3 linked regions of the Xenopus tropicalis genome follow. The protein of the gene in region 1 interacts with the protein of each later gene in a biochemical or structural test. Links are inferred from orthologs where the notes say so. Each region holds a gene or a part of one and is shown in the gene's direction. Other genes may lie near its edges.

Region 1 (4,226 bases):
AAAGCAAATATGTTACATGTTATGCATGGCTCTGATTATGAAAAACACAATGAAGAACAGACTAAGTTGGTTGTCACAGTTCATGAAACATCACATAATACTTTGTGGGTATATCTTAGTGACACATTTTTAATGAACACTGGAATTTTATTACAGCTTTCTCATTCTTTCTCAAAATAGTGTAAAAAATTCCTCTGTAGTTTTGCAAGGGCTATTGTAGATTGTTATATTCTGAGTCAAGAGATCTTATAAGGATGGCTCGCTTAAAGGCTAAGGAAAGTCATTTTGGCAATTTACTGCCAATAGATTCTCCACTTTAGTGCCACCTAGAACGCTATATTTATTCTGCAGAAAGCATTACCATACCTGAGTAAAGATTCCTAGAAGCTTTCTCTGTTTTCTGTGCAGCTGCCATTTTAGCTTGGGTTCATAGCTTCCTGCAGTAGATCTAGAGGCTGATAGCCCATATTACACATTCCTAAGGATGGGGGGAATAAGTTTTATGTATTCTTATGGGAAGGGGGAGCAGAAGGGAGAGAGAGAACTAAGCCAACTCAGGGCCCAGGAATGAAGGATTTTTTGAGAGAGGAAGTCAGATACCCTAAGAACATGTTTACAAAAAAGGAGACAAGAAATCCTGTGTTTCTTTTGATAGAGGACTCTGTGAGTCCTTATGGCTGTATTTACATAGACCTTTTTGATAAAGCTTACTTAGTTTTTACCTTTTCTTCTCCTTTAAGTATTTGTATATGGTGTATGCTGGTGCTTTATAACAATGTTGAAAAAAATACAATGTTAATATATTCTTCTCTTCATGTAACAATTCATTTCTTTTATGGTTAAAAATAAAACTAGGAATAATCTTTTTACCTCTTTACAGTAGGCAACTTTGGACCTGGTCAGTAACCCATAGCAGCAAGTCAATGATTAGCTTATTTAAACAAGGAGTAGGTAGAACAATGAAAGCAAACATCTAATTTGTTGCCATGAGGTTCTCTACATTCTACCCTAATTTGCTTTCCTAAAATGTATTCTGCAAAGTCATCAATAGAGAAAGCATCAGTTTATAGACCCTTTACCCCCTTGGGAACTTGAGAAGGCTACAAGTTAAGTTTACCCAGTTTATGAGAGAGTGCCCTGTCATTGTATTGTCATGCAGAGATGCCAGACATTTCCATCACAACTACATGTGTAATTTCCATTAATAGAATGCTCATTCCATCAGCTAAAAATAACCAGCTAGCTCTTCATAAAGCCGCTGCACCTTCCAGACCCTCAGAGCAACCACAGGCCGAACAGAGTAAAGAGCACTTACTAGCTGGCACAGGTCTAGAGAAAATGTCAGAACGCAGAATACCATTCTCCTTCCTCCGCACTCCAAGCTGGGACCCATTTCGGGACTGGTACCAAGGCACCAGTCGCCTTTTCGATCAGTCATTCGGTATGCCACGTATTCCCGAGGACTGGTACCAATGGCCCAGCACCAGCTGGCCAGGCTATGTTCGCATGCTTCCAAGCCAGTCCATGGAAGTTGTCCCCCCCACCACACCTGCTGGTGCAACTGCTCCTGACTTTAATCGTGCCCTCAGCCGCCAGCTTAGCAGTGGAATCTCAGAGATCCGTCAGACTTCAGACCAATGGAAAATCAGCTTAGATGTCAACCATTTTGCCCCAGAGGAGCTGGTCATAAAAACTAAAGATGGCATCGTGGAAATTACAGGTATGGCATGGCTAACCTCATATACTAGCAATAATAGTATAACATTCTACATTGATTATTTTAAAAAATGCCTTTCACATACTGTTTTGCTGTATAATTCCAACACACTGCATTACCACTTCTAATAAATGCACTTAGCAGGGCTGCACTGGTTGCAAAGTAATTACATTTCCCTGAACTTTCAAGCAATTTTGTAATCGATTTTCAAGCTCATAGGACAAAGGACACCTAGTTCCTTACCATAGCCTGGATACAACATGATAGAAAAGTTAAACAAAAGCCATACTGAGACCATCTCCAAGAGGTGACTTCCTTACCTATGCAGCTCTGTCATGCCTAGAATGAAAAGGCACACTCTGTTTTCTGGTACAAAATCACATGTGACGGTTGTCTCCTTCATTGGGCACAGCTACCCCTGCTAGCTAACGTACCTGCCTCTCACCTCGGAGGAATAACCCATACCTAGCTAGCCTAACCAAGGACATCCAGCTCCACCTAGGACTGGGCTCTTAAATGTCCACCTTGAAGTTTCTAAGGCCAATGCGGCACTTCCTTTATCTCTACCCTGTAATACAGTTTATTGGGTCCAAGACCTACCCCTACTTAAAACTTCCCAAATCAATTCCTAACTATGGCCAACCTACTCTACTGCCAGCAGAATCATCTGCCATATATACTGGAGGTAATTTATATAGAATTTATGTAGACCTAGAGCAGAAGAGCAAGTGCACTTAGGGGCACAACAGCATGTCCCTTCTCCATTTTTGCCTTAAAATGCAGCTTCATAAGCCAGTCCTATCATCACAGCCTGGACAGGTTGTAAGGAGCACCATTGCAGTTAGCATCTGCCTTCACTCCCTAACTTGTGTGCTTGAATGATAAACAAGTTAGGGGGCAGTGGGAGTAAAACATTACCGGTGCTGCTGTTCATAGCAGCCAACCAGATGTTTGCTTTGGTTTAAAATCTAATTGCTGATTGGTGCCCTAGGCAATGTCACAGTTAGTGTTTCAGTCCACTTTTTACACATGATAAATATTTCCCCTAGTTTGTTACCCATTAAAATTATTATGCAGTACTGTAAGGGCCGGATTTATAGATTTTGCACGCCTAGCCCTGCTCACCACTTGCTTCCCCTTCTCCACGCCACTGCTGTCTATATATATATATATATATATATAATATATATATATATATATATATAAGTCACTCTGCAGCATTGCAGCTACAAATAGCTAGGACTGAAGTATTAAAGGACAGTATTAAAGAGGAATCTCATGAAACATTTTTTTTGTAAAGTAATTAAGCTTACAGTTAGTTATTTTATATAATGACATTATTTTGCCTCTCTATCATGTCCTTCTCCTTCAAGTTTTGGTTAGTCACACACTCACAGAAAAAAGGCAATATTGTTGTGCACAAATCATAATAATCATACGATACTTCTGCAAATAGAAAACTTGATCATCTCTATTTCTGCCTCAGCTCATTTTTCCAACTCATTTTTAAAACATATCCTATGGTCTATTTAACACACAGTAAACTGTAGAAATGTAATGGGGGTGGGGGAGACCACACTGAAACTGTGGTATGGGTGCTGACAAATTTCACATAGAGCAGCAGGTGGCAGCGATTACAATAGTTATATATAACTAGGGGAAGTAGAGGAATCATATTGTTAGATAATAGGTTTAATTTATGAATGCTCGGGGCAAAAAGGGTCACAGAAGTTCTCATAAAAATGGCATAACCAATGTTCTTGCACCTACTTGCATTCATCTCAATTTGCCTTCCATCTGGCAATAATGCAAATTGCTAGTGGGAAAACATATGCATCACTTTAGGTTTATGAAGTTGTTAAAGTTGCCTTGCAAGTAAACTATAGGCATTGAGGCATTTGGAGGAGATTAAAGGTCCACAATAACGATTTGTTGCAGGCGACTAATCTCCTCTTGTGCCATTGAGATTGGTCACTCGTGGTTAAATCTTGGCTACTGTGGGTGACTAATCTCTTTGAAATGCCTTCCCACAGGAAATAAAGTGAATAGCAGATGGAAAACAAAATGCTGCATATTTTTTCCCACAGGTTATTCATTATATTGCAAGTGGAAAGGCATTTTGGGGAGATTAGTTCCCTGCGAATAATATCCCTGTGGGCCATGGCCCTTAAGCAAGTCGGCTTGCTCAATAATCTTGAAATGGTTTCAACACAGTCCAGGCAGCCCTGTGCTGTAGACTTATCATTGATAAGCCTTAGAACACAAAGCTGGCATCAGATGCATTTATCAGTCGTGTTTAAGAGTAGAAAGAGACAAGGTTTATTAGATATGCCATTAGCAGCGCAAGTCTTTTGAGGGTAACTGGGGTATTGTATATTCAAGGGTAAAGCTGTACCATGTGCTGAATGTATCATGTATCAATAGACCCAAATGGACAATGTCTCCAGCACATCAGTTTAGATAACAGACATTTGTTGTAGCAACTGAGGCTTTGTTGCTAGTAATAAGG
Region 2 (4,222 bases), on another chromosome or scaffold:
TTTGGTCTTTGGCCATTCTGGATTGTTTCAGCCAGCTGAAAACCTGTAAAACCTTACCTGCGACTTAACCTGGGGAGACAAAAAAAGCAACATTGGGGTCGGAAGACTCAACAGGGCTGCTACCCCAGGGACCCATACACCCACTCAGGGGCCCCCAACCACCTGCTCACCTACCACCAGCCCCTTCCCCCCACATGCATACCTCATACTTTGCCACAATCAGAGGAGGGCAGCTATGGCAGTGGCAGCAGCAGGAGCAGAAGGTCGGGATTGGGTCTGTATCGGTGGGGCCCATGAGGTCCCACTGGGTTTTTTCCCCAGTGTCCTGCCGGCTCAGTCCAACCCTGAGAGACATTGGGTACTACAGCTTCCAGCATCCATGATACAGGCTGTTGTAGTGTTATAACCAACGTTGAATTGGATACCTGGGGTACATGGCTGGACCCTAACCCACCCTCTACCAACCTAGACAATTTAGCATGCTGTGAGCTTTTATATATATATACTGCCCACGTATAACATCACTGGGGCAGGGTGGGCACGAGTATATAAGAGAGTATATAAAGATAGGCTGCCGGGCTGAGTCAAGGGAGTTCGGGCTGGAGGTACCCATGAGGACCTGGGCCCACCTGTTCTTTTCCTGGTACCCGAGTGGGCTAGTCTGACACTGGTCACAACATAATTTGTATGTATATTTTATTTATATAGTGCTTTTTATGCACATACCGCTGACAGAAGAACAATAAATTAATACAACAAACAGTGTGTCATTACTGTAATAAATACAAATAAATACTTAGTACAGTTGCATTAAAGATTCCACACAGCTTAGTGTCAAGTGGATGGGGTCCCTGCCTTGTAGAGCTTACAATGTAAATAATAGTAGGAGAGCTGCAAGTTTGAAATATATATTCTAAACAGCTGTTTATAGTCATATATATTCTAAACATCTGTTGGGAATAACAAAATATGTATTTTTGTCAAACTTTCCCCTGATGTGGCCCCTGTGATGCCTGGGATTCAGGGCAAATGCCCTTTCTCCCCTACTTTAATACTAGCCTTGCAGCTAAGGAGTTCAGAGGTTGTCTGTGTTTAGCAAGAAAATATATAGTTCTTTCATTCTCATAGGAAAGCAAATTTCCTAAGGCTGCCTCACTAGCAGTAAAGACATTAATCACCAGGCTGCCCCTCCTACCCCCTTCCTTCCTCCCTCCCTCACTCAGCCTTGGTGCCTGTCTCTCCTCCCACCCCTTCCTTGGTACAGGCACAGATGAGCTGTGGGAGGCTCTTGTCACAGTCACAGGGACTTTAGCACTAAGCTCCCGACATGAAGCTTTGGCTGGTGGCTGGCAGAGAGGCCTAAGTTGGCACTATGGAGGAGAATGCCAATGTCCAGGAGACGGGGGACCAGGAAACCCTCCCACCAGCCCAACCTGTTAAGCTGGAGATTAAGCGACATGCCATCACCGATGATTACAAGGTGTCAAAGCAGGTGCTGGGTCTGGGGATCAATGGCAAAGTGCTGGAATGTTACCGCAGGGACACCGGGCAGAAGTGTGCACTCAAGGTTAGTACAGCATGTTGATACAGAACCATCTAGAGAGAATGAATGCCACAGAGACATGTGAGAAGTGTGGGTACAGTGAGAGGGGAAGCCTGGAGAGGGGAATGTGAGAGTTCAAGTCTGTATATGGGTACAATATAAGGGTTAGGGGCAGGGATAATACAATAACACTACTAAGTTTATCTCGTACACAGTGCCAGTTTTTTTTAGGACAGCATAGAGAGTGCCTTTGTCCATCACATGGACCCCTGGGGTGGAAAGTTCTGTATACATTAGTACAAAGTATACATTTTCTTAACACTTGTTAGATATATACAGTACACCAGGGATGTCCAACCTACAGCCCTCCAGCTTTTGTTTAACTACAGTTATACTTCAACAACAGCCGGAGGGCTCCCTAGTTTAAGTAACACTCCCTCAGAGCAGCCCATTATAGGGTCTTACCTTATTGCCAGGGGATGCCTCTTCTCTAACACCGGCTGTGTGCCCAGTAAGCTAGGAGAGGCATGTGATTAATATACTGAATGTGGCAGTCGGGAGTTAACATACAACTCTGTAATTAGTGAAGTTTCGGGAAGAGATATGAAGCTTGGTTAGAGGGCAAGCTGAGAAACATGATAGGGAAGTGTGCTTAGTTTCAGGAGATCAGCAGTAGCGTGTTCTTAAGGGAAAGCATGCTTCTGGATAGTGTACAGACCTACATGTATCAGGGAGGTTTAAACTGGTAATGCGCAAAAATATTCATTTTATTGGTGAGGCCACCAAATGAGCAGATCTAGTCATATACAGTAGGTAAGTGGCTTAATCAGACTGATCTGAGTTGTTCAGCCATGAGGCCAATCACTAGAATCACAATAGAGGCCTATGCACACCCACAGGGAGAGGACCACATCAAAGGCATGACGAGTTCCTCCACCAAACCTGCCCAATGGATATGTAACCAGCCCCAAACATTAATAACTGACTTGGTCTGAGGTCTATATGTGGCTAGTTTAAAATGACCTTATGCACACTGAATCAACCTGTCTGGGATCCAGGTAGTGGGCCAAATCTGGCTGATGGTTTAGCCTTTAGCCAAGGACTGGATCACTGGGTGTCTGTGCAGTGCTGTCAGACACAAAGCCTGATACAGTTCTTAGTTGAAGGGATTTCTAGCCTACCCAACTAATGATAAACTATTAAGAGGAAAGGCGTTGTCCTGGGCCCATATTAACTCCTGTAGGCTGACCAAGTAATCAAAAGTGCCCTGGTCAGCAGCCAATATTCACTCAGGTGTATGGGCACCTTAGTGCCCCTTACATTGGAAACCAGACAAATTCTCTTTCATTTCTAAAGAACTGTTTGGACATTAGTAACAGAATGCACAGAAACTATTAGTTTCCTCCACATTTTAACTCTTAGAAATATATATTTATTGAGGTGCTGCAAATCAACAGAAAATTCTTCTTTATGTACTTAGTCAGGCCATAAATGAGGTCACTAAACAAGCAGATTTCTCACCAATATGCCCACGTAAGGTGAGCGATATCAGATCACAATGATGGGGATACAGGCCATCAGGAAAGGACCACATCAACAAGCCTATATGGCCCTTGATTTGGCAGGAAAATCATACCCGCCCGATCAAAATCTGGCTGAATTTTAACCAGATATCAGTCGGGGGGGGGCTGACAGAGGGCCCCATACACAGGCAGATAAGCTGCCGAATTGGTCTGGAGGCCTGAATCGGCAGCTTAAATCTGTCCATATGGCCACCTTTAGTTTTACAAAATGTCCCACTGCTATATATATATTTATCTACATCCAGTTTCCATGCAACTAGTTTGAGACGATTTGCATTTGAAATAGTTTATTCAATACAAATTTGGATCCGAGTGATGCCTCGTACACATGTCGCATTCTCCATGCAAGGCAGCTCATCTCGAAAATCTAATCTGTTGTCTTCTAATTATATCATTAAATACATTTTTTGAGGTTGCTAATGTATGTGCTGACTCTTGCATAATATCTCTGTGGCCTTAATCACATCACTTCATTAAAAAGTGCAATTGATTCCCATACTATTTCTCCGGGGCTGACAGGGAACGCTCAAATCCATTGGGCTTCCTTACATTACAGTTCTGCTGCATTTGGAGCATCTGTAGAGCAAGGCCATGGGTATGCATAATGTTTCTCCAATTGTTTCCATCTATGTAAATGACCAGAGGAAATATCTTCACTGGCTGAAATATGAAAACATGCTGCAGCTTTGCACAACGGGCAAATATTATTTTACTGCCCTGCAATACAAGCCAGTGGATTTAGGTATCTGCATCCAATGTAGGTAATACACATATAAAACACCTTGATGAAAAGGGCCATTATATAGGCCCCATCAAAACTTGGGTAAAGGTGAGCAACTGAATTAATGATTGTTTCCAAAAGAGGGTGGAACTGTTATAAAATTAAAAAACTATGTTAAAAACTGATGGCTATTCTCTGAGATGGAATATGAGAAAAAAAAAGCTTGTTGGATCGTACACTGAGAGAAATGGAAATGTCTGGTAATTACTTACCATGATGGCGCACATGCGCAGACAATGTGACTTAGTTGCCTTAGCATCTAGTGCCCATACCCATATAGATGCTCTAATAGCAGCAGCACTGGGCAATCAAAAG
Region 3 (2,899 bases), about 43 Mb from region 1:
GTGGCTCAGCTTTACAAGATTGTTCCCAATGTACTGTTGGAACAAGGCAAAGCCAAGAATCCATGGCCTAATGTGGATGCTCATAGTGGGGTCCTCCTGCAGGTAGGGATAATCTAATAAATCCAGATTTGTAATTCAGATGTCATCAAAAGCACACATTTGAGTCATAATTGTATTCTGTCATTGGCTTTACGGAAGCCCACTTTTGATTGGTTCAGTGGTGGTAAACTAAGCTAAAAAACGTGATTTTGCTCATTGGAGTGGGAGCATTTATTGTAACATTTTCTCTACATGTCTGTATACAAACCGGCTTTGAGTTGGGGAGTGTTAGGACCATAACATTGCATGTGCACAGTACAAGGGTGACCAAACTCAAATGCATTTGAATCCGTCCAAAATTCTCTCATTGCTTAAACCCTTTTTACATTTTTTTCGCCCCAACAGTATTACGGCATGAAGGAGATGAACTACTACACAGTTCTCTTTGGCGTATCGCGGGCACTTGGTGTTCTGGCTCAGCTTATCTGGAGCCGAGCTCTTGGATTCCCCCTGGAAAGACCAAAATCAATGAGCACAGATGGCCTCATGCAGCTGGTCGGATCAAAGTCTGGCTAATCAAAACGGGAATCGCCAGGGCCCCTCCATTTTGTATAGAGGGCTCTTTAAAAAAAGACAGTACACCTTTTGTTTCAACGGACTGCTTTGCACCCCACTGTTTTCTGAATTCCGATGAGAAAACATGTCTGGTTATTTATGCTGAAAATCCATCTTGCAGCTCAGTCTCAGCCCCTTTTCTTGCTGAAGAGATCTGTATTCAGTTCTCCATCAGGAAATGGGATCTTGTGCTGCTGGTTAGAATCAGAACTCTGGAACCCCCTCAGTCACAATCTGTTAACTCACAGACCCCATCATTCTGCTTATTTATAATTCAGCCACGGGCAGTCAGTGCCTCCTAATTTTGTTACTAATCTGCAGAAGCAGTGGCCCATAGGTTTTCATACACAGGCTTGTATGGCACAGCAGCCCCCTTTATATGTCCCATTGTGAAACGCAAAACCTGCTATAGACTTGCCTGTGCTTAGCACAACACTGCGCCTGGCTTCATATCTTCAGGAGCATGGGTTTCATTCTCTTACTGGGAAATGTGATTATGTTTCTGCAACCATTTAACTGCTGTAGGTTGGCTGAAGGGCCTGCAGGGCAGGAGAAGATTAAAGTCAGCAGTATTGGACTTTGGAGGCCATCAGAATATACTGTCAGGCAAGGGTTTGGCATTGTATCATCCCCACTTGTTCTTATCCCATGGATGCTCCTCATCTATCACTTTTTGTTTTTAACATGTAGGTTTTTATGTAGGTGGACAGATAACCCTGCCTGCTGACCACAGTGAAATTATAAGGGAGTAGAAATGTCCATGAGCAAGAATTATTGTGGATGGGTTGCTGCTTTTAATGTCCCCCTACTAAAGTAAGGCTCTACTGTCGTTATGCTTTTATTTGCAGCTCTTTTTATGTGTTCCAGCACTCTGGATCCTCCTGTGCTGTACTGGGCCTTAAAATATTGCTAACGACCTTTTAGTGCTTTACAAACACAACTGTGAATTCAAAGGATTCAGTTAGAGAGAGTTTCTACTGGTTTGTTTTTTTTTTTTTTGTTTTTTTTTTTAAAGCTACCTTTACTTTAGCCCCTTCCTTGCTTGTGGCAGCAGTCTAGCAATTCTTGCCGCAGTGATCAGCTCCCATCATCCCAAGGACTACAAAAGCCTGGGAGCCTTAAGCATTGCTACCCTATGGGGTCTTGTTTGATTACAGGGTTCTGCTATCCAAAGGCCACAGTTGGACTGAATAAATGCTCATTATACAGTGTCGGTGTGCTTGTTAGTGTGCATTTCCCACTCCTTCTGCACTAGTTCATTAATCCTCAGAGATCTGCAAGTGCACTTTCCCAAGCTGCTTAATTTGTCTTCCTCTTGTGCAGGAATGTCAGGCTGCCAGCCCTTTTGCAAAGTCTAGTTAGTGATATTAGGACTCATAATTCCCAGCTGTTGGGGGTTACAGTTTGGCATCTCTGCTCTACAGCATGACTGTCCACCTAGAGACCCAAAAAGGGATCCTGTGACCCATTTGTTAATACACTCCTGTCCACCTGTCAGCCTTTTCCCATGTGGTATTGCCTAACCTGTTCTTGTCAGTGCAGACTAATTGGCCATCAAATGCTCTGCAAATTATGGATTGATATCCCAACTTACCAACAGACTTAAGGTTGTTCTGTATAAATGCAAAATAAATGTTTTTATTACCTACATATCTGTTGGCCTCTAAGGATCATGCTAAGAGCACACACACACACCAAATATATTCTAAACTGATGCATGCTAATGACATAAAGGACCCTATATCTAAAATACAAATATGGATTTAATTTATATTGTATATGCATATTTGTATTAAATAATGCTAGCTGTGCACAGCACTGTACATTGAAACAATACCTAGTGTATATATAGCAACAGATGGGGAGCAGTGTTATAATGGAATAGAAATAAAAACAAAAATACTACTGAAGATTGCTAAGTGTAAAGAGTAAGGAGGTCACTGGCCTACAGAGATCATAAAAATTCACTGGGCATGCATAAAACTGCAAATTTTTCTGACCTAAAGTTGTGAGGCTTTACTGGGGAAAAAGCTGTGTAAATGTCACTACTTCTTCCTGTAAAGCTTCCCTGTGTGTGCCAGCCCCAAGCTTTGCATATAATGCAGTCTCTTGCTTTGTGCAGAACAGAATGGGAATGACACCCCAGTAGGGAAGGAGGAAATGACACCCCAGTAGGGAAGGAGGGAATGTCATATGTGGCTCTCTCTCTGAATTTCTCTCTGCCCCGGGGAAATTGCCAGCTGAA

The links.
Region 2: of the proteins of hspb1 (region 1) and mapkapk3, one has a biochemical effect on the other in vitro, tested with the Homo sapiens proteins (2 studies listed by BioGRID and IntAct). The link is inferred for Xenopus tropicalis from reciprocal best matches to the Homo sapiens genes HSPB1 and MAPKAPK3.
Region 3: the proteins of hspb1 (region 1) and cs form a complex in vitro, tested with the Homo sapiens proteins (2 studies listed by BioGRID). The link is inferred for Xenopus tropicalis from reciprocal best matches to the Homo sapiens genes HSPB1 and CS.

The regions. Positions count from the first base shown.
Region 1 is NC_030678.2:94,196,667-94,200,892, forward strand, and holds the start of hspb1 (heat shock protein beta-1), read left to right. Parts: upstream 1-1,290; 5' UTR 1,291-1,338; coding exon 1,339-1,720; intron 1,721-4,226. UniProt on the Homo sapiens protein: Small heat shock protein which functions as a molecular chaperone probably maintaining denatured proteins in a folding-competent state. Plays a role in stress resistance and actin organization.
Region 2 is NC_030680.2:127,556,354-127,560,575, reverse strand, and holds the start of mapkapk3 (MAP kinase-activated protein kinase 3), read left to right. Parts: upstream 1-1,321; 5' UTR 1,322-1,372; coding exon 1,373-1,567; intron 1,568-4,222. UniProt on the Homo sapiens protein: Stress-activated serine/threonine-protein kinase involved in cytokines production, endocytosis, cell migration, chromatin remodeling and transcriptional regulation.
Region 3 is NC_030678.2:137,309,174-137,312,072, forward strand, and holds the end of cs (citrate synthase, mitochondrial precursor), read left to right. Parts: coding exon 1-102; intron 103-444; coding exon 445-615; 3' UTR 616-2,302; downstream 2,303-2,899. UniProt on the Homo sapiens protein: Key enzyme of the Krebs tricarboxylic acid cycle which catalyzes the synthesis of citrate from acetyl coenzyme A and oxaloacetate.